Lepisosteus oculatus: one gene and its partners. Each later gene encodes a partner of the first gene's protein in a complex. Links are inferred from orthologs where the notes say so. Each region holds a gene or a part of one and is shown in the gene's direction. Other genes may lie near its edges.

What was found.
Region 2: the proteins of bach1b (region 1) and fbxo22 are in contact, whole or in part, in a cryo-EM structure (PDB 8S7D), measured with the Homo sapiens proteins. The link is inferred for Lepisosteus oculatus from reciprocal best matches to the Homo sapiens genes BACH1 and FBXO22. Residues at the interface, in NP_001177.1 of Homo sapiens: Ser7, Val8, Phe9, Ala10, Tyr11, Glu12, Ser13, Ser14, Val15; in NP_671717.1 of Homo sapiens: Asp366, Gly371, Asn372, Phe373, Ile374, Leu375, Arg376, Lys377, Cys378.
Region 3: the proteins of bach1b (region 1) and fbxl17 are in contact, whole or in part, in a cryo-EM structure (PDB 8UAH), measured with the Homo sapiens proteins. The link is inferred for Lepisosteus oculatus from reciprocal best matches to the Homo sapiens genes BACH1 and FBXL17. Residues at the interface, in NP_001177.1 of Homo sapiens: Val20, Leu21, Ser23, Leu24, Gln27, Val32, Leu33, Asp35, Phe39, His48, Arg49, Ser50, Val51, Ala53, Ala54, Cys55, Ser56, Ser57, His60, Ser61, Arg62, Val64, Asn72, Thr74, Pro76, His116, Asn117; in NP_001156787.2 of Homo sapiens: Asp395, Arg421, Asn447, Gln473, Gln498, Glu499, Met524, Arg548, Cys574, Leu575, Tyr598, Val600, Ser601, Asp623, Trp626, Met651, Arg652, Val676, Gln678, Asp679, Cys680, Arg682, Thr683, Glu685, Gln689, Trp692.

The regions. Positions count from the first base shown.
Region 1 is NC_090700.1:19,451,420-19,458,384, forward strand, and holds the start of bach1b (transcription regulator protein BACH1b), read left to right. Parts: upstream 1-3,946; 5' UTR 3,947-4,074; intron 4,075-6,856; 5' UTR 6,857-6,868; coding exon 6,869-6,965. UniProt on the Homo sapiens protein: Transcriptional regulator that acts as a repressor or activator, depending on the context. Binds to NF-E2 DNA binding sites. Plays important roles in coordinating transcription activation and repression by MAFK.
Region 2 is NC_090700.1:57,539,999-57,547,765, reverse strand, and holds the start of fbxo22 (F-box only protein 22), read left to right. Parts: upstream 1-4,748; 5' UTR 4,749-4,828; coding exon 4,829-4,959; intron 4,960-5,861; coding exon 5,862-5,994; intron 5,995-6,230; coding exon 6,231-6,318; intron 6,319-7,767. Other genes in the region: lactb (serine beta-lactamase-like protein LACTB, mitochondrial), read left to right, coding at 1-119, 639-804, 2,148-2,670. UniProt on the Homo sapiens protein: Substrate-recognition component of the SCF (SKP1-CUL1-F-box protein)-type E3 ubiquitin ligase complex that is implicated in the control of various cellular processes such as cell cycle control, transcriptional regulation, DNA damage repair, and apoptosis.
Region 3 is NC_090698.1:57,058,755-57,066,790, reverse strand, and holds the start of fbxl17 (F-box/LRR-repeat protein 17), read left to right. Parts: upstream 1-4,955; 5' UTR 4,956-5,164; intron 5,165-7,562; 5' UTR 7,563-7,582; coding exon 7,583-8,036. Other genes in the region: prxl2c (peroxiredoxin-like 2C), read right to left, coding at 1,838-1,943, 2,283-2,336, 2,878-2,946, 3,332-3,511. UniProt on the Homo sapiens protein: Substrate-recognition component of the SCF(FBXL17) E3 ubiquitin ligase complex, a key component of a quality control pathway required to ensure functional dimerization of BTB domain-containing proteins (dimerization quality control, DQC).

The DNA.
Region 1 (6,965 bases):
ATCAAAATCCAGTATGTTTTTGGACTTTGGGAGGAAACCAGATCACTGGGAGGAAACCTACACAAACATGGGGAGAACATGCATACTCCACCCAGATAGTACCCAAGGTCTAGAATTGAACCCAGGGTCCCAGCGCCGCAAGCCTGCGAGGCAGCAATAACAAATGTGCCAGTCGGGTTTAACCTAAATAAAATCATAAAATATCCACAACAGCTGGTAGAAAATGGCAGGGTCTGGTATTCATTTTAAAATCTCAATGTAATGACTTAATTGATTTAAGTGAGCTCACTATTTGGATAGGATCAGACAGTCAACCTACTTGTAAGATCACCAGTGAACTGATGCTTCGTTGGGTTTCATTTGCTAAACGTTATCTAAAAGTACAATCTTCAAGACTCAGGTCCTTGAGGACAGGGTTCCTATTCTCTGACAGTCATTACAATGTTAATTCCAAATGTACGGTCAACTGACTGATTCCTATGACTCCTGGCAGAGCTTTCTCTTTAGGGCTGTCTTGGTATCAGTTTGCTGAGGTGCACTTACTGTATCCTCAAGGAATTATGTTGTTGATAACATCTGACATTTTAAGACAAATAAATTGTGGTGCTCTGCACAAACATCTTAAAATGAACATTTCTGTTTATTTTAGTGATGTTTACACTATTCAGCGTTGCTCAGTTTTAATGTTATGACATATTTATATACTCAGTTGTACACAAGCCTCCATTCATTCACTATCTAAGCTACTGGATGGAGTGTACACACCACACACTATTACTAAGACCAGCTGAGAGCCAACCTATTATATGAATGGGGTGTAGTTGGACTGCAGATAGTTCAAGTTCCATGAGACCTCCTGTTCAACCTTTTCTTACTGGTCTCAAAGGACCATATGATTACTCAATAGGGATTCCTGATATCACTATATACTTTTACATTAATTTTAATTTAGAGATTATTTAAGTTCAAATGCCTTGTTTTTAATCTTGTGTTGTTGTTTTTTTAATTATCCTTTATACAAGCAGAAGAGTACAATGCTGTCAATTTCATACTTTCAATGATTGTTACACTATGAAATGAGGAGCTTAGTGTATTGAACTGAAGAATTCTTTTTTTAAAATCACAGAAAAGGAAACATACTTGCTTTGTTTCCTCTGTACTAATAATTCTTCCTGATATTTGAGAGACAAATGAACAGTTGATCTGTTTCTGTCCTTACCCCTGTGACTGTGTTATGTGTAATGTACTGTACAAAATGTAACACTTTTGCCCAAAACATCGACTTACTTTTACACAATCCGGGAAAATTTATTTCACAATTCAGCCAATAACTCCGAAACAACCATCAGCTGATCGTGGTTTCTCCAGGAAGCTGCATGGATGACAGCATTGGCGGTGACCTTCAGTTTGGGCACTGCCCCTTAAGGAGAACATCTGCTTGATAAATATGGATATAGGTTCAATCAAAAATTACAATCACACATCGCAAATATAAAAGCACAAGATGTATCCTGCAAGAGGAATGCTATTTTACTATTTATTAACTTAGGCTTAACTTGGCTAATGATTTTATCCAAAACAACTTACATTTGTATCCATTTATATAACTGTATATTTTCTTAGAGCAAATATGGGGGAGGTACCTTGCTCAATGTTACTACTGCAGCGTCTCATCTGAAGTTTGTACCCACATACCTCCAGTTAAAAGTCCAGAACCCTAACTACTGCTCTATCCTGCTTCCAATGTTAATAAAAAAGTATAAAAAGATACAGAAATTAATGTTGTTGCCTGCGCAAACTATGAAATTAAATTTGACCAGGACATGAAATACTGGGAACCTCACAGTGGCGCACTGTGCATTGCTGCCTCACAACACTGGGGACTTGGGCTCAATTTCTGGGGTGCTGTCTGTGTAGTTTGAATTTTCTCTCAGTGTTTTCTTCTGTTTTCGTCAAGTTCCAGTTTCCTCCTACAGTCCAAAGACATACTAGTAGGCTAATTTCCTTTTGGGAAAATAGGCCATGATGTGAGTATGACTATGTTTGTGTCTGTGTGTGTTCTTTGACAGCCAGGCAACCCATCCAGGGTGTATCCTTGTGTCCACTGCTTGCTGGAATAGGCTCTGACTTCCCCACAACCCTGTGCTGGATAAAATGGTTACAAAATGAATGCATGACAACACCACAAGATCTCTGTAAGATCTTTTTAACACATTAGTTTAAAGACAAGAGCCTAGGACATTAACAGTCCCAGCAAATAAAAAAATACACATCTCCCAGAACTACAGCTTTTTCAAAACAGAAGTCAAATGTGTAAGCAGCAAAACTGTAAAGGAATCTCCTAGGAATGTCTTCTACAGTTTTGCTTTTCTAAGGCAATCAACTTAATAACCACTCTTGTCTTTAGTCTCATAATCACAAAGCATGGTTTTCTGCGACAAAATTAGTTCTTAGAGTCTATCTTAAAACCAAGCGAACCAAGAAAACAGATAAAACACTAGATGCTGCTGCTTTTAACATCTGTAGTACCTCAAAAGCAGTATTGCCTAAAGTTCAAGATAATAAGAATTATCTTGAAATGTCTAGCAAAATGTTCACAGAAAAATAACTTACATTTCTGCGTGGACACACCTCGATATATCTCATAGATAGCTGGTTGAGCAGGTCCTTTCAAACAATCGCTCCTTGTATACAAAAAAATCTCATTTTTTATTTTATTGTGAACAACTGTAAGTCACTTTTCTGATAGATAATCAAAAATAAGTAAAATCTGTCATAGTTCACAAAATGTTAGAGCATAAAACACTATTGGAAGAATGAGTAGGTACAATTCAACACAAAACACAAATTTAATGCACATAAAGCAAAAAGACAAAGTTACATTCAAATGAACACTTTAAGGTCAATGTAGAGTGAAATTAGCATTTTTTTTCTTTCAAACCCACATTATATCACATCTGTCAACGTCCGCCTCCATTTATAACTTTCAAATTCAGTTAGAATGTGCCAAATTATTGGAAGCCAGAGATTCTTAATAACACTTATTTGTCACAGTCAAGTTACTTTTAATCTCACCTAATGTACAACTGGATCTTCAAATCAGACTATTAATTGGCTCCTTATATCTGCACCCATTCAGTACAAAACTCTTGTTCTTAGTTGCTCCTACCTCCAAGACATTTTTTAAATGCTGGATTATTCGTCTCTTTTCATTCATTTCTAACGTCGTCCTTCCCTTCATTCTTCTGACTCTAAAATTGTTTCTCACATTTCTAAGCGGAGGTTGCTGCCCTAATCAACCCAATGGCCTTCCTAAGAACCAACAATGAAGCAAAACTAGAGGACACGTGATAATCAAGAATAAACATTTAAGACAAAAAAGAACTAAAAGTTTTAACAGTGTGGTTGTAGTCTAGTACCTTTCTACATGGTTTTGACCAGGAACATTTAGAAATAGAAGATTTTGAATTTTATAAAACTTGCAAGTCTCAGAAAGGTTTTAGTTTATAGCGTTTTTAAAAACGTTTATAATTACTGACACACGTTTAATACCCGAAATACCTGTACGGAGGTTGTTCCTAAGGTGCTTTGAATACGATGTGTTTAAACCCCCGAGTCCATGTTTAGGTAGTATTTTTATTATCATGCATTACTTTAATTTTTTCGTGTTCTCACTCAGTGCAAAGCACTTTTGATTTCTGTCGCTCTGCGACCGTCCCTTGATAGGAAACTGATCGTGCCAGCCTTCTCTGAAAATGTAAAGAAAAAAAAAGGACTCTGAAAGTAAACCCACAAAGCCACCCAGTTGAAGCTTATCAGTGCCTGAAACCGGAAGTGAGGGTTTATAAAAATACACGAAGCTGGCAGCCATTTCGGCCAATAGCAGGAAAGAGCTGCACGTTAGAGGGCGGGACGAGGACGCCCTGGGTTAAAGTCACATGATCGCAGCCCGAGCGAAGGGCTTGCAGTCAGGCAGGGTTCTAATGGGGCTAGGTAGTAGGAGGATGTTTACTGCCACAGCACGGGGCTCCTTGGTAAAAGTCCGAATCGATTCTTGCTGAGGAGATGTGACAGGTTAGTAAGACTCTTTTGGCATTCTCTCGCATGTCAGGGTTAATGTAAACAGGGATCGAAGCGCTCGGTGCCACGGAGTGTCTTGCGATGTGTTGTGGTGGTACGGAGGAACTTTGCAGTTGTCGGGCTGGGAGGGGGCATTTGGGAGAATCCCAGCCTTTAAAGTTTCGGTAGGCCCAGCAAATGTCACGGTGAAATCTGTAGCTGTGCACGCCAAGATGTGTATTTGGTAAGGCTAATTTGGATTTTGTCGTGAGTGACAAGCTAAATTTGTGTCTTTTCCTGCAGTGGTAGTTTATGGTTGTTAAGAAATTCCTTACTCGGGCAAAGAGGATGATAGTAGTAGAGACTTATTACGGTAGGAACACATGTGATATTTAGCTGGTGCCATTACTATTCGTTACAAAATGACCTGTGTGTTTCGTGCTAACTGGACATCTACGAGAAATCATTTAAACAAAACAAAAACGTGGACGATCGTAGTGGTCTGTTTGGTCTGTGGTTAGTAAAGTCTGCCATCTCAGGATAACTATCTTCCTGTTTATTTCACGTCCCACTTTTCTTGTGTAACAGGGTTTCATCATCGAGAGGGGGATCAGAGTGTACACACTGATACAGCATGGCTAACCGTGGCATCTTAAACTATTCGCCTCAGCTAACGTTTCTGGATTACAGAAACCCGAAAATATACGGTGAAGGGTGTCGTGTGCCAAGCAGTTTAAACAAATCCGGGATTCGCGTTGGGATGCGGGGAAAAATACTTTGTTTCTCTCTTACAAGTCACGATTTAGAGTATCTTCTTCCGCACGAGTTCAGTTGGAGAATATGATGTGGCATTACATATCTGGAAAGACGTTACGCAAACCATAGATAAAATACGGGTTGTATAAAAGCAAACAGAGCAGGTTTCTCTTCCTCTTTTTCAAACCGCTTAAAAAAATAATATCCAAGGAAATATACATGAGCTGCAAGAAAAAGGCTACCATGAAATACGAAAACGCGAAGCTTGGGGCTGAAGGGCTAGCCTTTCTAGACACTGTGTAGATTATTATTTTAGTACCTGCACCGTTCACCAGATGACATGATGCATATTTTAACAGTGGAAACCAGTCTCCGACATTTGTTTACATGCTCAAAAAAAGAAAAATACATCACCCTTTTCAGATACCTTCATCATACACTTAGCAGTTACAGCGACTAGACTACTATTGTCTCGTAATAATATATCAACGAATGCTGCCTCGGTTAGGTAACGAAGTTGTTTGCGGGAACTAATGAACGGAGAAGCAGGAAAATGCTTGTTCATCCTTTATCAGCAGAAGCGAGTGAGTCAGCACGCTGTTGCTTAACCACACTGCATGACTTGACATCGCTCAGCTGTAGTTGCGCCAAGCTGCAACCTGCTTCATTTAATGAAGCGTTGATCTTATTTTAGGTTTTAAATCGCATTGGCTTAGTAGTAGATATGCATATTATTTTAAATGATTTATACTAGGTCTTACGTTGTTTTAAAGTTGTAAATATTTTTTTTCTCATCTATTTTTGAAATATCAAAATTCACACATCCACCCATTTTTTTTACCACTTCATCAAATTCAGGTTCAAGGGGGAGACGGAGCCTATCCTGACAAGGAGTATGCACACCCTAGCCGGGACTCCAGTCCATTACAGGACATGTATACTCATTCCCATAAGCCAGTTAACCTGCCAGTATCTTTTCGGACTATGGGAGGAAACCAGATCATCCAGAGGAAACCCACACAACATACAAACTGTTCAGATAGCACCCCTGGTCCGGAACTGAATCCAGGGCCCCAGCGCCGTGAGGCACTAGTCCAAAACACTATGCCCATAATTCACACATTTGCTTTCACGCATAGAACAACACTGACCTCCTTGATAAGATGGAATACAGACGTGCAGATGTTTTCTTTCACACTGTATAATACAATCAAATCTACCAAAACTGAGCCACAGAAAGATGTGTATCAGAGATGAAATACAAAACCTTTCTAGTTGCAAGTCTTGAGGTCTGCCTGTCATGACTGCATCTCAGACTGATACAGGATCTGTCTGCCTCAGGAACAGCTAGACAGACTGGCTTCTCAAAGTCTGGTGTAGATTAAGGGAAGGCAGTTGGATCTGTAGAATTTTACATTTACACTCTGATGTGTGGCTCTGGAAGTATTTTATGGTTTTGTGTTGTATTGTGTACATGGAGGTGACGCTGTAATTGGGCAAAGCTGAATAGTTTTTTATAGTAGTGGCAAGTCCTCTGAAAGCAAGCAGTGTAACACACTAGCTGGCATAAATCCTTTAACTCTGAACTAAATCATCCAAACTGACTGCAGTGACTGCTTGTAGTTGTGGTCTTTTTTTGGAAGGTACAACACCTGATCCATTTTCAGATTAGTTATATTTTTTCTGAAGTGGGCAGTGACAGCTTCCGCATTATTCCTTGAGTAAGGGAGGTGATTGAACCCTAGGGTCACAGACACACCTCCAGAGGCTTGGTGCTGGCAGTTGAAATGAGCTCCATACCTCCACTACACCCATGAACCGGGTGCAGGGGACAGCCTTGAAAGACCTGGCATTTTCTTTTGAGATACTTGTTGCATTTTAGCACCCACAAAGAGCAAATCCAATTGAATGCGTAGTGCACCCATGTAGAAATCTCCAACGTTTGATAGCCGCACTTCAAAAAAACCTTTCACTACAACATTGTGCAACTCAGACAGAATTTTGAAGTTTGACTGCGACAATGTTTTGCATTTTCTTGCAGTTGTACCGCACAATGACTTTCGAGAGCATAAGGACGTCGACCTTCAGTTACCAGTCCTCGATACACAGCTCGCACGTCCTTCTGTGCCTTAACGAGCAGAGACAGAAGG
Region 2 (7,767 bases), about 38 Mb from region 1:
CGCCAAGCAGGCCGCCAAAAAGGAGTTTGAGCAGGAAGAGTACTACCTGAAGGAGAAGTTTGACAGTGTCATCCAGGCCCTGGACCTGTTTAAAAATGACCCCCTGATTTTCAAGCCAGGTGACAGATGACGACTGTTCTATAAAATTGGGAAGGGTTGCTGGGTGAGACAGATAAACCATATCAAGTATCTTTAGGAAATGTGGCCGTTTTCACTATAAAATTCTCTTCCTTCTGATTCACACATGCTAATTCTGCCCAAGAAATGACATGTGTCTATGTGGTTATCTAGATATGTTTTTTTTTTCTTTTTTGGAACTGCTTATTGGTCTCTCTATCTTCTAAGAGAGGCACAGGGAGAAAGGCAGGTTATTTAAGTGTCTCAAAAAAGACCATGTATGGAATATTTCATTTAGGATATCCTTTCAAGAAAAGCTTTTTTTTTAGAGAACAGCGCTCCTTGAGTCCAAAGGCTTCAAGTGGCAATTGTGCATATGCATTTTTCTTCAGCATTTCCTAAAATTACATTTTGCAACTTTAAGGGTCCTCATTTTCCTTCGCACAGTTTTCTGCAGCTGCAGTTATCAAAAATGGTAGTTACCGTGTGGGGCTGAAGCAGCGCGCTGTCTGTGTCTGCAGGCAGCTCTTTCCTGTACTCCACACACGCCTTCACTCTGCTCAGCGCGGTGGTGGAGAGGGCAGCAGGACGGCCCTTCCTGGATCACATGATGAAGATGTTCCGGGAGCTGGGCATGCTGAACACCGTGCCGGAGGAGAACGACCGCATTATATACAACCGATCGAGGTAACGGAGAGACCTGCAAAGTCAAATTTCAAAGCCTGCTGTTTAAAAAAAAAAAGTCTAAATTCTTGTGGTTTATTTTGCATGGTAAGGTTTGCTTTTTGTTGAAAATATTGCACTAATGCTGAGCACTAAGCATTCAGTGCCACACATGGTATTACATCTTTCAATTACAGCTTCAATTTCTCATTCCATTCATTTCTCACTCTAAGGTTTCCGATCACACCTGGTTTGATTTCACTACTTTGGCTTCTTATCCATAAGTTCATTTCTTTTAAAAATTAAAACTCCCAAAACCCGAACCACTGTCTATGACCAAAGGATTGTCTTCATTGAGATTCTGTCACGTTAGCGTTGATCATTTCAGTTTCCAGTCACTGGTATCTAGATGACTGAACTCTTTTAGCTGTTCTGCATCTAAACTCTAAAAGCTGTGACCCCAGGGAAACACATATGGTTAATTTGCAACTTATTTGAGATCATTTATATTTTTGTTTTTTAATATTTGCAGTCTCTTTGGGCTGACTCAGATGATCTGTTTTTGTTTATTACTTCACACTGTGTAGTGAATTGGGATGCCATCTGCATATGATTTGCATGGCACAAACTAAAATGTTGGACGTCAACAAACCCTAAAGATCTGCAATGCAAATAAAATTGCAACAGTGCTTTTTATAGTTTCACATTAAGGGAATATGTGCCTGTAAATTTTGGCAGCTGTTTACTATGCCATAATGTGGGAAAATGTCATGTTAATTGATTTCTGGGAAAACTGGCCCTGGTGTCAGTGTGTGCCCTGCGATGGACTGGCATCCTATCCAGGGTGGATCCTGTCTAGTGCCTGTTGCTCACCAGGATAGGCTCGGGCTCCCCTGCGACCATGGATTGGAAAAAGCAGTTCGAAAATCGATGGATACAAGAGTGGTGGTTAGCATAACAGCTGCAGGGTACTACAAGTTGATCCAATTCTGGTTCTCTGTGTCGGGTCCATGTACTGTCTGTTTTTCTGTTGACTTTTGCCAGGGTGCTCTGGTTTCCTCCCATCATCCAGAGACATGCAAGTTATGTTTACGTCTTATGAGTTTGTCCCCCTGAGAAAAGCAGAGGGGTTGTACTCGTTGTTAGTGACTCGGGAGCAGAGCAGCTCTGGTATGTCACTCTCCCCTGTGACTGGTCCTGTTTTTGGGACGGCTCTAAGCAAGCAGGAGAGAAAGCGTTGAAAGGCTGATTAAGGAAACCCATGTGGATGAGTATTAGATCTCATTAACTTCTCATTAAATGAGAACATTACTTGTCTTTAAGTGGGAATCTAACACCATCTGTGTTTTTTTTTCCCCTCTTTGCAGGTTTTATCATTTCAACAAAAAAGGCCGCATTGTGAACTGCCCTTATGTGGACAACTCCTACAAATGGGCAGGGGGAGGGTTCCTGTCCACTGTTGGTGACTTGCTGGTGTTTGGCAACGCCATGCTTTACAGCTACCAAATGGCGCATGTTAAGGATGGCAGAGGCCTCCTGCCGGGCTACCTCAAGCCCGAAACGGCCAAAGCCATGTGGACCCCTGTGGATGGAACTGAAGGATCCTGGGATAAGGATGGGCAGTATGCAATGGGCTGGCTGGTGGTGGAGGAGCAGCAGCAGTTTGGACAGTGCAGGAAAAGGCGGCACTATGTTTCACACACAGGGGGAGCTGTAGGGGCCAGTAGTGTGTTGTTAGTCCTGCCCTTCAACCTGGCCCAGAGCGAGGGACAGACATTGGCTCCTCCACAGGGCATCGTGGTGACTATTATCAGTAACATGCAGTCTGCCGGTCTCAACAGCACTGCCCTGAAGATCGCTCTGCAGTTCGAGAAAGCCAGGAATGCTTGAGAGAGCACAGGAGGCTGTCTTTGTGCAGCTGGTGCACCAATCATTTTGAAGTAAAAATGCTCGTATTTGAGGTCTTTTCTGTATTCGCAAGATTGGTATCTTTTGCAGTATTAAAGGAAGAAGAGGATTCAATTTTTAATGTCATTTTAAATACATCTAAAAACTGCTTTAACAGTGGAAAACACGTGGCTAAAAAAAAACATTTTATTGTTGAAAAGGCATTTTTTAAAACTTCAGCATACCTTTATGTTTAATCTGTCCGAGTCTGATCCATTAAAAAAGTTTTTTGTCCACTGACTGTTCATGTTTTACACATGCTGGGATCACAGAAGAGTCTGAATCGATGTACAGTACAGAAGAATTAGGATAGCGCCACGGTTACTGCTGCCAGCTCACAGCTCCAGGGCGGTGGATTCAATTCTAGATTGGGGTCCCTTTTTTGTGGGGTTTGCATTCTCCCTTTGTTCTCGTGGGTACTTGCTCGGTGCTCCAGTTTCCTCTCGCCTGCCAAAGACATGCTGGATAGGTCAATGGCATCTCTACATTGAACCCCCTGTGCTTGTGTGGATGCCCTTCAGCTGTCACCCTATAAAGAGTGTGTGTGTTTCTGGGACAGGCTCAGGGTGGATGTGACCCTCTCCAGGAATGCGTGGCTTTCTCTCAGTGAATAGGTGATCATTCCCATGTACAAAAACAGAGTAATGTCAGAATCTGCCTTTCCTACCTTGAATACTGACTCCCTCATTGAAAAATGTAAGCTTCTCACGACAGTTCTGTAGTAACTCCTGACATACACTAAGTTCCTAAGGAATAGAAACTATGGCCATGAAGTGTAGGACGATATTGTAGTTCCGCAAGTGCCTCTCCATGGTTATCTGCATGTGTTTTGAGTTGTGCACTGATTATAGACTTAGCCCAAAAATATTGCATTTAACTGAGCCCCAGAAATGTTAGTTTGCTGAGAGAAACATTTGACGCAGTTTCCTTGTCAGGAATGTGACCGTAGTATGAAATAATGATGAAATACCATGTTTTATGTGTAAAACTTTGACAGCTGGGGCATTCGTTTAGGAATTAAATTGACATACAATTGAAATGTATTAAAATTATTTTTAAGAAAAAGCCACATTTTTCTGGCACTCAACTTTACATTTCTAGTGTATGTTATGAGTGCCTGAGACTTAACAGATTTTCACATATTTGTCTTTTGATTGTTCTTGTACATTAATTCATCCAAGGAAATATGAATCTATGAACCATTTTACCTTCACTTATGACATCAATGTACATTTGTGTAACAAATCTACTTTGACAGCACTGCACAGAACAGAGAAAGTTGATCTAATCTTTAAAGATAACTTTTTGAATGAAATATATTTTAATTATTTTATTAGCACAACCCCAGCTCCCCATACATACTTACCAAGGCAATAATGCTGTCAGTGCACCTGCAGAGGTAAGGGAAATGCTGACTACGGTACTGTGGGTATTGCATGAGATTTAAGCTATCATTTGGTCTACATGAGAGACCTGTGGACTATAACCTCCTGTGAGGTGATCATGTGAGATTAAGATAATGAACTCCAATATAAATTACCTACATAAAGTTTGTAAATTTCAATGAAGGTATATTCGCTTTTGAATACTGATAATACCGTTGAGAAGGTTTTAACAGGGAGTAGGACTTCAGCAATATTTGTTTTGTACTCTAAAGTGATGACCACGGTTGTACACAGTAGTAAAATTACATCTCATTAGTGCACTGTACATTTATACGTGGTGGTCCTTGGTTTAAATGTAAAAATCTTTAATTTGAATTTGAATACGCAATTTCATTTTCGATCCAACGCTGTTTAGAACAAGTAAAATATTTAACATAATTATTTTTAATTTCCTTTGCAGCTTCTACAGTGTTTCCCGGTTTAATAATTTGAGAAATTGACCTGTCTACCACCTACAGTATATCTGGATCTAGATCCGTTAAAACTGCACTCCTGTTATCTTTGGGCACAGCTGTGGAGGAGATAAAATAATGTACCACTAGGCGGCAGTAAAGAAATAAAACGGAATAAAAATGGAATTGTTCACTTCCGATTGATGGTGAGTTCAGGGGTCAACATTGTTCCCTGGGGTTGTTTTAGACACTCGGAAGTGGAAGATGGATGCAAGTGGTGAATTTTCTATTTCAGCTCCAGAAAGTAAAGCTGGATATATACTTAGTAATGTGGCCGAGGTGGTGGAGAGGATTTTGACATTTGTACCGACCAAGTCACTTCTCCGTACCGCTTGGTAAGTTCAGATTCTCGTTTGCAGGACTTATTAACAGTCCCTGTAGACTTCCACTCAATGTTTTCTGCAGAACACGGAGCCTTGAGACAGCACATCGGCGATCTTGAGTTTTATTCATGAACCCGGCTATTTTTTTTAATCGAAAGATGTATGCATAAAGGAGATCAGAGAAAAGCTGCGTCTTGTGCTCTCTAAAGATGTAATGACTTAATTGTATTCAGAATCTCTTGTCTTGTTCATATCCTGTACTCGATCACGCTTGGGTTTTTGACTGCAGAGCCCTTTATATATGTAGTATGTTTGAGAGTTTCTTTGTATTTGTTTTTTTCGACATTTAAACGCAAAATACCAAGACGTCTTGCTTGTGAAAATGGGCATGTGATATATGTGATCTGGCACCGCAGGAAGTCTGCGGTTTCACTTACTTGCTGAAACATTGTAATCTGGTATTTTTGTATCTGCTTGGTACGCATTGATTAGCAGTACAGCGCATTGTCTTTACAAGCAAGCAAAAGGTTTGAAAAGACGTGATGTCTCATGCCTTTTAAGGAAAATCTGGTATTATAGATAAAAATTCCTGATGTACTCCAGCAATTGCATAATTCACCTTGAAAGTGAGCTGTTTTTACTCCCTTTCCTTGGTAACTGTAATCCTGAGGACAGTTGTCTCCTGTGATAGCTGTTTAACAGTAGAAAGCCGACCTATTTAGTGAGCATGATATTTTCACTACATCTTCCACCTTTGCTGCTTGAAAAGCACAAACAGGATTTCTCTTTAAATCCTTCAAAATCAAAAATGCTCTGGTAAACCAAATGCCTTTTGTTGTTGTTGCTGTGTTATAGAAGGACTTCTTTTGATATTTATTGTTTTGCCTTTGTGCTGCTGTCGGCTGTCCCGGTAGCGTCTGCAGACTCTGGAGGGACTGTGCCCGCAGGGTGCTGAGGACACAGCAGAAGATGACCTGGGTGTCCGGTACTGGCTCCTCCAGCTCGGATGGACATGTCTTGTTCAGGACTCTGGCAGAACAAGTAGAGGTAAGGGGACACTCCTCTGTGAGTGATCTCCCTGGCTAGCTCTGTTTTCGCAGTCACCTCCGTCCTGCACTCTTTTTTATGAACTATTTCATAAACTATTTCCCATATTAGATCACATTAACGTATAATGTCGAAGCAGGTGTTTGCAAGCAGTGTAGATTGGAAAGCAATTGCTTTGAGCTTTAAAGTCCTTTATCTGGGTTTCAGTAAAGGAATATAAATGTGCTGTTTTGCAGAATGTGTACTTGCTCCCCCGGACAGTCCTCCTGATGGCAGACAGCGACACCTTGAACAGACCTGATGGCACCTACAAGCAGAAGAAAGGTAACAGACTGGCTCATGAGGAGTCCTGCTCTGCAAGTATAATTTAAAAGTCTTGGTTTCCCGAAGGTGCTTTGATGTGAGGTTTATAATTTTTAATTAATAATTGCTTACACATCTATAGCACTTTTTTGGACACTCCACTTAAAGCGCTGTACAGGTAATGGGGATCCCCTCCACCCTCACCAGTGTGCAGCTCCACCTGGATGATGTGACAGCAGCCATAGTGCACCAGTACTCTCCCCACACACCAGCTCTCAGTGGGGAGGAGAGCAGAGTGATGAAGCCACTTCATAGATGGGGATTATTAGGAGGCCATGATTGGTGAGGGCCAATGGGAAGTTTTTTAATGACCACAGAGAGTCGGGACCTCGGTTTTACTTCTCATCTGAAGGACGGCGCCTTTTTACAGTATAGTGTCCCTGTCACTAACCTGGGGCATTAGGACCCACACAGACCTCAGGGTGAGCACACCCTACACTCCCCATTAACACCTCTTCCAGCAGCAACCTTGGTTTTTCCCAGGAGGTCTCCTATCCAGGTACTGCCCAGGCTCACACCTGCTGAGCTTCAGTGGGCTGCCAGTCGTGAGTTGAAGGATGACATGGCTGCTGGCTGTTTGGGGTTGTCATACTATTTGAAGTGTGCTTGGCTAATGAAGTCATAGAACAAAATCTAAAATGATTTTGATGCCATTGGACTCAAAGTACGTCTCAGCCAGCAGAAGTGCTCAGTTGGAGCGCAGGTTGAGCACTGTGTGCCAGGATGGCATCATGTTTAAACCTGGTGACATGACCCGTGGAGGCATGGAGGCACACAACTGCCAGAGCAGGGCAGTGCCTGGATCCTCACGATTCCCAGTGCCTCCGCAGCTCCTGTGACCAGCTCGAGCCTGGCAGGCCTGCAGTGAGTCAATAAAAGAGCCGGCCCTCCCGGTCCTCCTGCACCAGGCCAGAAGCATGCGCCCATCAGAGGAGTGTGTCTCCAGACAGGAGGTGCTCCCCATGTGGACACAGGGTTTATTGCAAGAGAACTGCGCCTTAAAACAGGTGCTGATTCAAAAATAGGTAGGCACACAACAACAACAAAAAAAGTCAATGCAAAATTGAATTAAAAAAAAAGGACATTTTAAATACCCTTGAGCGAAATGTAAATGTAAAACAGACAATGGAGAAGTCATGGTAGATTTCTTCTGCTGTTTCACCTTAGCTGTAGTGTTGTGTGGACACAGACGTAATGTTGCATGAATAGCAGAACTCAGATTCATTAGAATATCCCACTGTTTCTGCAGGTTTAATTTTGTGGGCATACATAAATTACTCCACTGGCCGAAACTCTTTGAAAATGTGTATAATACGAAACCTAGGAATTATGTCTAATATTTCTGGTAATTAATATTGAGCGAGTCTCATTTAACATAATTTTATGTTATCAGATGATGTCTCTTAAATT
Region 3 (8,036 bases), on another chromosome or scaffold:
TTGTTCATGGATGGTGAATATTACCTCTCTTTTGTGTCCTGGACTCTACCTGTAGTTTCGCAATAAACTTGACAGTACACTGTGCTATCATAACAGTTCCTAATGATTCTCACACCTGTTTTCTACATGCTATCTTGTAGACAAATATGGGCATTCCCTTTTATAGGTGCTGTGTCAAACCATGTAAGGACGCAGTGAGTAGCCATTTAAAATATTTCACTACTTCTGCAGTTGGTTTTCCCAAGACATTGTGACTATGTGAAAAAGTCTCTCATAAAGACTACTTCTTCCTTTACAAATGCATTGCTGACTTCATTTAAATAATGTTACCTTCGAATCAATGTCTAAATGTTGTGGTCTGTAGCATACTTCTAACATTGTACATTTTGAATGTTTTTATAAGCCTGATCCATACTGGTTCAGAAACCCTTGATTCCTCTAAGTTAATATCCTGTGCCTGAATGCTCTTTTTGATGTACAGTACTGTGCATTGCTACACCTCCTTATCTTCCATTGTTCCCATCTCTCTGGAAATCTGTGGATCAACTAATGTTGTATTGGTCATCATCAGTCTCTTTTAGCCATAATTCTGGGATTCCAATTACATTATATTCAACCTCTATAAGCAGTAGCTTCTCTCTCATGCATTTTCCTTCAGCTCTAGTAATGACTAAAAAATACAAAAGACATTTCAATTTTGACGGAGGCGTCCATTGGTGAAAGGTTCAATAATGAGATGATCACTACCTCATGAAGAAGAGGGCATTAAGAAAAGGAGGCTAACCAGTACCAAATAACTGTGAATCTTCCTAAAATGCTGGCAGCAGGGCGATTTCAGTAATCTGATGTATACTGCAAAGTTAACAGACCATCTTAAAAAGCTGAGATATGAACTTGCTGAAAAGAAACTTATTGACTCCCCAGAACCAAATTATATCAAATCCCGTGGTTGGATGAAACACAAATTGAGATTGTGGATAGGCTCGCCAGCAGTACAAGCAGCATCTGAAACGTGAAAAATGTTTCTTTCTCACATTGAAAAACAAATGTCCTGCCCTCTGTAAAGGAGATAAGTGGACCTGTCCTGCTTTAGGGCTGTTTTCTATTGTCTGGTCCAGATACGCTGCTCAGAATGGAGGGGCAGGTGGAGTCCAAGGTTTACTAGCGTATTTCAGCCAACAGTGTGTGCCGTCTGTCAAGAAACTTAAGTGTGGTCTCAAATTGACTTTACAGAGGGATACCACTTCGAAGTCTGCACCACACTTAATGACCAGATGGTCACGAGAGCGCAAAAACCAAATGATAGGTCATGATGTGTCATTGCAGACTCTAGCAGGACACTTATGATATGATCTGAGGAAAGCAGATCACAAGTACAGACTGCACAAGGTGGAGAAGCTGAAGAGGCTCAGCTCTGGTCAAGAGGCTGAAAGGTTGAAGAATCCAGTCATCAGAGCCAAAAGAGGGATAGAGAAATACTCCTCACCAGGGAATTCAAACATTTCTGCATTAGTTATTTGCAATTTTATTGATGGATGTTCTATTTATACACATATTATTAAAAAAGGAAAGGTTAAATCCATACAGAAAAGCAGAAAAAAGGCTTTGGAGTCTTGTTCGGGTGTGTGGTCTCTGTAGCTGAAACGTTTTTTTTCCTCCTTTCTTTTTAATTTTCAGTGTGAAATCAACCCCTGCTTGTCACTTTGCAACTCACACACCAACACAGCTCCCTCTTTAACTTCTACAGTACTGAAAGTCATCTAAATCCTTCATTTGTTATTTGCACGTATCTGGAAGATACTGTATATAATCTCAAAATTAAAAAAAAGAAAATTACCTGACTCTGTGAACACCTCCCCTTTCTTCATTCCAAGTTTTTTATAAATTTGCCTTTCTGGATCAACATATATTTCATGTGGATAGCCTGTCAGTGCGCAGAACGCCTGTATGTATGACCCATATGTAATATAAGTAAGAGTGATGCATAAAAATACACAGACACGTCTAGCATTTTCTAAAGGAGAACATGTACTTGATGTTTCAGATGAACTGCAAATCTGTGGTGGCCTTGTTAACAACTTTCTGGTAGCAAGGAAGGGTATAACATTGCAGAAGGTCTGATTATGACATTAGTGAACAAGAGAGGACATTTCACGTTATGTTTAGAAAACAGGTCACAGTAGGGTACTGAATGCCACCAATTTGTATAGCACTGTGTTAATCATAAATTAATACAATGTTGTAATGTAACTGACCTATCTCATCTTTTGGAACACACATACCTCAATGTGATGGTGTGAAGACTGTCCAATTACTATCAACCTGACATCAGCATCCTGTTGTTGAAATAAATATGAGTTTAACCATGATATTCTCCACAGAACTATATATTTTCTACTGAAAAGGAGCAGAAACTCTGGGAATTTAGGATTTAAATGCAACTCTATGCTTTGGACATATATTGTCACACGGTTAAATCTTTTAATATTTAGAATTTCCTCTAGAAAATTATTTTTACGATTTTGAGGGTCTGAACCCCCAGCCCGGCCTGTGCAAAGCCCCAATCCAGTTATTCTTACAGGTCATCTGTTTTCAAAAGATTGCCAACAGCTGTAAAGATATTGATGAATGAAGCAGGTGGGCTATTCATTAAAGTGAACTTCTGGCTCCTGAGAGCTGAAATATACTGTACTAACAACAAGTGAAAAAATAACCTTTGCTTTTTTATTCCCAGAAATCTAAGCTCTTTTATGAGATGTGCCTTGTAATAAGGCATTTTTGTTGTTTGCTGGTAATTACCATTCACATTTCAAATAATGGAAAATAATCAAAATAAATTTAAATAACTTTTAAAAATGTAATAATTCTACTACTTACTGTGAGGAACCTCTTAGGTATTTTGGCCAGATCTTCCACATACTCTTTGCATGTGTAACACAAAAAATGCTATAAATTCAAAAGTCAAATATTTAATTTGAAACAATTAGAAACAATTGAACATAGGCTATTTATATTTTAGATGCAAAATCCACGACGAACTATTTTACTTCAGTTAACAAGAGTTCACAATCGAAATGAAAGTATACCAACACGAGAAAAGGGTGCCATTTCGGATACTGCTTCCAATGCAATCATTTAAAAATATACGTATATAATACCTGCATTTTAATAAAACACCTCTGGTTTAATGTATCAGCACTATCCTTCTCACTCGTAAGGCAGATTTCCTTTAAATCGGATCTCTAATGCTTGTATTGAAACGTTTGAATACTTCGGTATTAAAACAGGGCTTTTACAGCATCGGAACTGGTAGCAGAAAAAAGCTTCTTACCCTAACGAAAATAACGATTGATTTCTTGTCGTCATATAAACTTTTAAAAGGAATCCGTTTCCCGTGCCGGTTGTAAACAAAACAATCTTCAACCTCTGAGATCGGAATATTAACCGGGTTTTTCTGGTGGCCTTGCTGGGCTCTGGCGATTTGTTGTGTGACGGGAAGATCTGCAGCCATCTCAATCCATTTACAGTACAACTTTTTTTCCCTCAAGTCTTGTCCGAGCTATTTTGGGCTTGCTTTGCAAAGTGTCCAAAAACTCAGAAACCACTCCCACAAAATTAACAAGTTCATGTGCAGTGAAGTAACCGAGTTCATGGAGAAATAACGCACATCTGGAAACAGAATTAATACATGCCCCTATGGACTACTGATAAATGTTTACTGCATCTCGATTATTTCATTTTACTTTCTTAAGCTTTTCCTTCCGATCTCTATGCGTCTGTGCGGCCCTGTGAAGAACCGCATTTGGTAAAGGGGTTTCATCGCTCCTGCTACAAATAACTGGTTAATTGACAAAAACCGAGTTATTGTCGACTTAAGATAAATCACTAATGATATGCAGCAACAGAACACTGAAAAATATTAAGCCTTATAGTTGTAAAATATACCGTATATCTCATGCTATTTCAGTAGCCTTTTTATGACGCCTAGCGACAATTTGGCGTATTGCATTTTGTGCATTTTTATGACAGCGCGCTGTTGTTTGCAACTACTAAATATGATAGTAATATAGTACCAAAAATAAAACAGTGCGTGGAATCGACAACACTTCACAGACAATGCTTTCAATTATCGGTCTGCAGACCGAACAGTTAGCGACATGTTTCTGAAGAAGGACCGATTTCTCATTCCTTTATTTAAAAAGAAAATCGAAATTCAATAAAAATCAGAGCAAAATTGGATATTCTGCAGCCCTTGTCCAGTCTCTGTATTTATCTTCAATTGTGTTAGCATGTTCATTTATTTTAAGTATTTTAAAATAAATAATTGTTGTCATAAAAGCATACATTAAAGCTGAAAAGCAATATTTTGAATGGAATCGATATAATTTTCTATGTAAAAACAATTATGTCTTTACATACAGTAGTCAGGCTTGTGTTCCCAACGTTTCTAATTGGTTGGCAGACATCTAGCATAAAGGTTACCACGAATTCTTTATTAATTTGACACGCAGTGCCAGGCTAAAGTGTATGATAATGAAAAGTACGCATATGCTGGAAAATAATCAGCATTTCTGATATTTGTGAGTTGCTTTTATTCCAAATGATACGCCACTGATTATTTAATCTACCGTGTATTAGACGAATTTCCTTAGGCAACTTCTTTCTTAACAAATAAAACGTGAACGGTAGCAGTTATAGTGAGTATGACAGAAGACCTCCCTCCCTTCCTACCCCTTCAAACCATGAAACCTATTTCTTATGTGTGTTTTATCTTAGCGATACAGTGTCGTTGTTGCTATGCACGGAGGCGGGCATCACCAACTTGACGGACAAGGTGAACATGCAGTCTGTGAAGCCCTGGCTTGACTGACAGGGAAGTCCTCCAATTAAAAAGCAAGGAAAGAGGCAGTACTCGTGAGTGAGGAACAGGGAATTTTCCAATCACTCTTTAAGCAGGGGGCAGGATTTCCTTTCTTGTGCTTATTCCGGAACACTTTCCACAGAGAGCAATAACATATATATGATGTGTGTACACGTTCGTACATAGCGTTGTGTCTGCAATATTTTAAGTCTGTCGAGCTGTTGGTGGTGTTTTATACGTGGATTATGAATGCACGGGTTGAAGGCGACTGGAATTGTGTGAACTGGTTGAGAAAACGTTGCTGTAAGTAAGACGAACTGTTCCTTCTCATCAAATTCAGTTAGAAAGTTGTTTTTTTTTTCTTACAGGTTAGACATTGCCAGCTGAATGTGTTGTATTGCTATATATATTTTTAAAAACTTACAAAAAACACTTAACGACCTTGCCTTTCAAGCCTGTTCTCGTGTTCCGAGATGTCTAAATCATTTTTGTCATGCACGAATTCAGCTTCTCGAGGTGAAGGCAAAATAATGATTATTTTTGCTGAGTTTCGAGGAAGGCCCAGTACTTACGGTGTGAATAAAAATTGTACTAAAACAAGTACATGTCAGGTCATTGCTGGCAATACCCCTGTTAATTTAAAAGCAGCTCGCTGCATAATATAGTGTGGAGCCCACGGCTCATGTATTTTGAATAATGGTGTGTGATCAGTTCTAGGAAGAAGTAAAATAATAAATTTGGTTATGATTTATGCAAGGCATCGATGATAAAACTATAGTTATTTTATTAGACGAACATCTGGTACCTGCAACACTAAATGCTGAAAATTGCATAGTACCAGGATGCCTGAACAGTACTATTTAGGCAGTTTTCAAGATGTGTATACAAGAGATCAGTTGAAACCAATAACGCTCTTCAAAATCCCGTCCCAAACTGTGTGGTGTGTAGAACTACCGAACAAGCACATTTGAAGCCTTAAAATATTTCCAAGATTTTTGATGTATGATTTTATAAAGGCAGTTCTACTACTGCACTTGTGGTAATAAACGCAATGATTCCAAAGTTAATTTAATATGTTGCTTTGTCTCCAACAAATTCAGATTTCGTGCAAAAAAGATACAACAGTTTTTGGAATGTGATTTTTGTTAGCCTTTTCCTGTAGTTTTGAATGAACAGCGACCATAAAACTCAAGGCAGTAAATGCGCTTGATCTGTCCAGTCTCATTTTTCAGCACATTTAAGGTTACTAGTTTAGCATTCAGGTAGGTTTCTGAATAACACCCATAGCACCAAAAACTGCTTTCTAGGCTTGATCACCTCACCTGCTGTCTTTGATCGCCATGAACTACTGTATACTGTTCAGACATCAGTGGTGCGTTTGTTAGAAAAATGCACATATTCCTTTCTTCCTTCAGTGTTTCTGTGGAAGGCTTCCAATATTATTGATTCATTGTTGAAAGTGAATATGCACCTTTTTTTACACTAAGCATAATGAATTGGAGCACATCAATTCAAAGGACAGTGGATCCTAACAGAGCAGCTTAGCATTTAGGGCCATGTTCACTGGAGATAAAATGCACGTGTAGTTATTGTCATCCATAACTTGGCTGAGGAGCCAATGATGCGAAGCTGCCATCTGTGGGATTATGAGTGAATGTCTCCCAGTCAGGATCCCCTCTAAAAGGTAGGGAAAGGGAAAATAGTTTTCTGCAGTGAGGTGTCACTGTCTATTAAACCTTATCAGACTAAGCTCAGATGATACAAAGGTCTTTGCCTGTATGTGTGTGAAAGTACTTTGAGAGTACTCAGATTGCTGTTTCACATCACAGCACATCACATCGGTGGGTGGAAAGCAAAGCTCACTGCTGTTGTCCTAGATAGCCTAATGGAAACAACACTTGGCTCTTAAATGATTGACAACACAGTTGTGTTGCCTCTTGAATCGGAATAACAGAAAGGCTGGTCAGCCAAGGCCTGGGGAATTAAGAATGTAATTCCCTTCCAAAATAGAAATAGAAAAATAGAAAATAATTAACATCATCTTACAGGAACAGGATTGGAGCAGTGCTTTAAGAACATAAAAACGGTTTAAAAGAAGAGGAGGCTGTTTAACCCCTCTGGCCTGCTTGACAGCCAGTAGCTAATCGATCCGAGGGCATCTCATCCAGCCGTTTCTTGAAAGAAGCTTCAACATCATGGCAAAGTTGTCATGTGGAACACGTTGAATCATAGTCAACAGGTGTTTGTAATGTTAGTAGCCTGAGTGTAAGCAGTCCTGTTTGTGATATCACACAGTTTGTGTAGATATACAAAACGAGCAATGTTTGCACGGCTTGATTTTTGATTTGCCATCTGGTCGACATTTTAGGCTGCTCATTCCGAGTCCCAATTACTCAAGCTGTGATGAATGAGCGAGCCCCTTCAGAGTGCTTGTATTGACAGCGTCTTGTGTTTTTTGTACTTTTTCTACTGCATTGTATGATTGAAGTTGCATTGATTGTATACATCTTATAAAGTCCGTTGGAGGTTTCCTGTAAGGCATGTGCAAGGCCAAAGGAAAATGTCGGCTGTCTGTAGACAATAAAGCGGATTTTGATTCCGATTTTCTCCCCAACACCCATCTTGGCTGTAAGCGAGCCACAGCCTTACCTTGCCTTTTATCTGAGAGTGTGTTCCCCCCCCCCACTGGGCTTTTCCACAGAGGCACCCTGAGTCATCTATATGGGCCATCTTCTCTCTAAAAATGGCAAGCGCGTGAAGAAGAAGAAGAGGAAGCTGCGGAGGAACTGCTTTCTGCACGGGCCGTGCATGCTGTGCTTCATCGTCCACAACCCCAGCAGCCTTGCCGAGGACCAGCTCGAGAGCGCCTCCAAGCTCGCCGAGAGGTACGCCGCGCTCGGCTCCCCCGAGGACTGCGCCCGCTTCCTCCTGTCCCCGAAGGAGCTCGCCCTGTGGGAGGAGCAAGGCAAGAGCCTGCTGTCGGGCGTCCCCGCCAAGCTCTTCCGCACCGTCTCCGCCGGCGACTACTCCGAGATGGTCTGCAAGCGCAAGTGCCCGCCGGGGGCGCAGAGGGGCGCCCCCTGCAAGCAGGCGCGGCGCGCCTTCCAGGAGGCGGCCGAGAACGGGGCGGGCGGCGCCCCAGCCGCCGTGGCGCCGCCGCCGCCGCCGCCGCCGC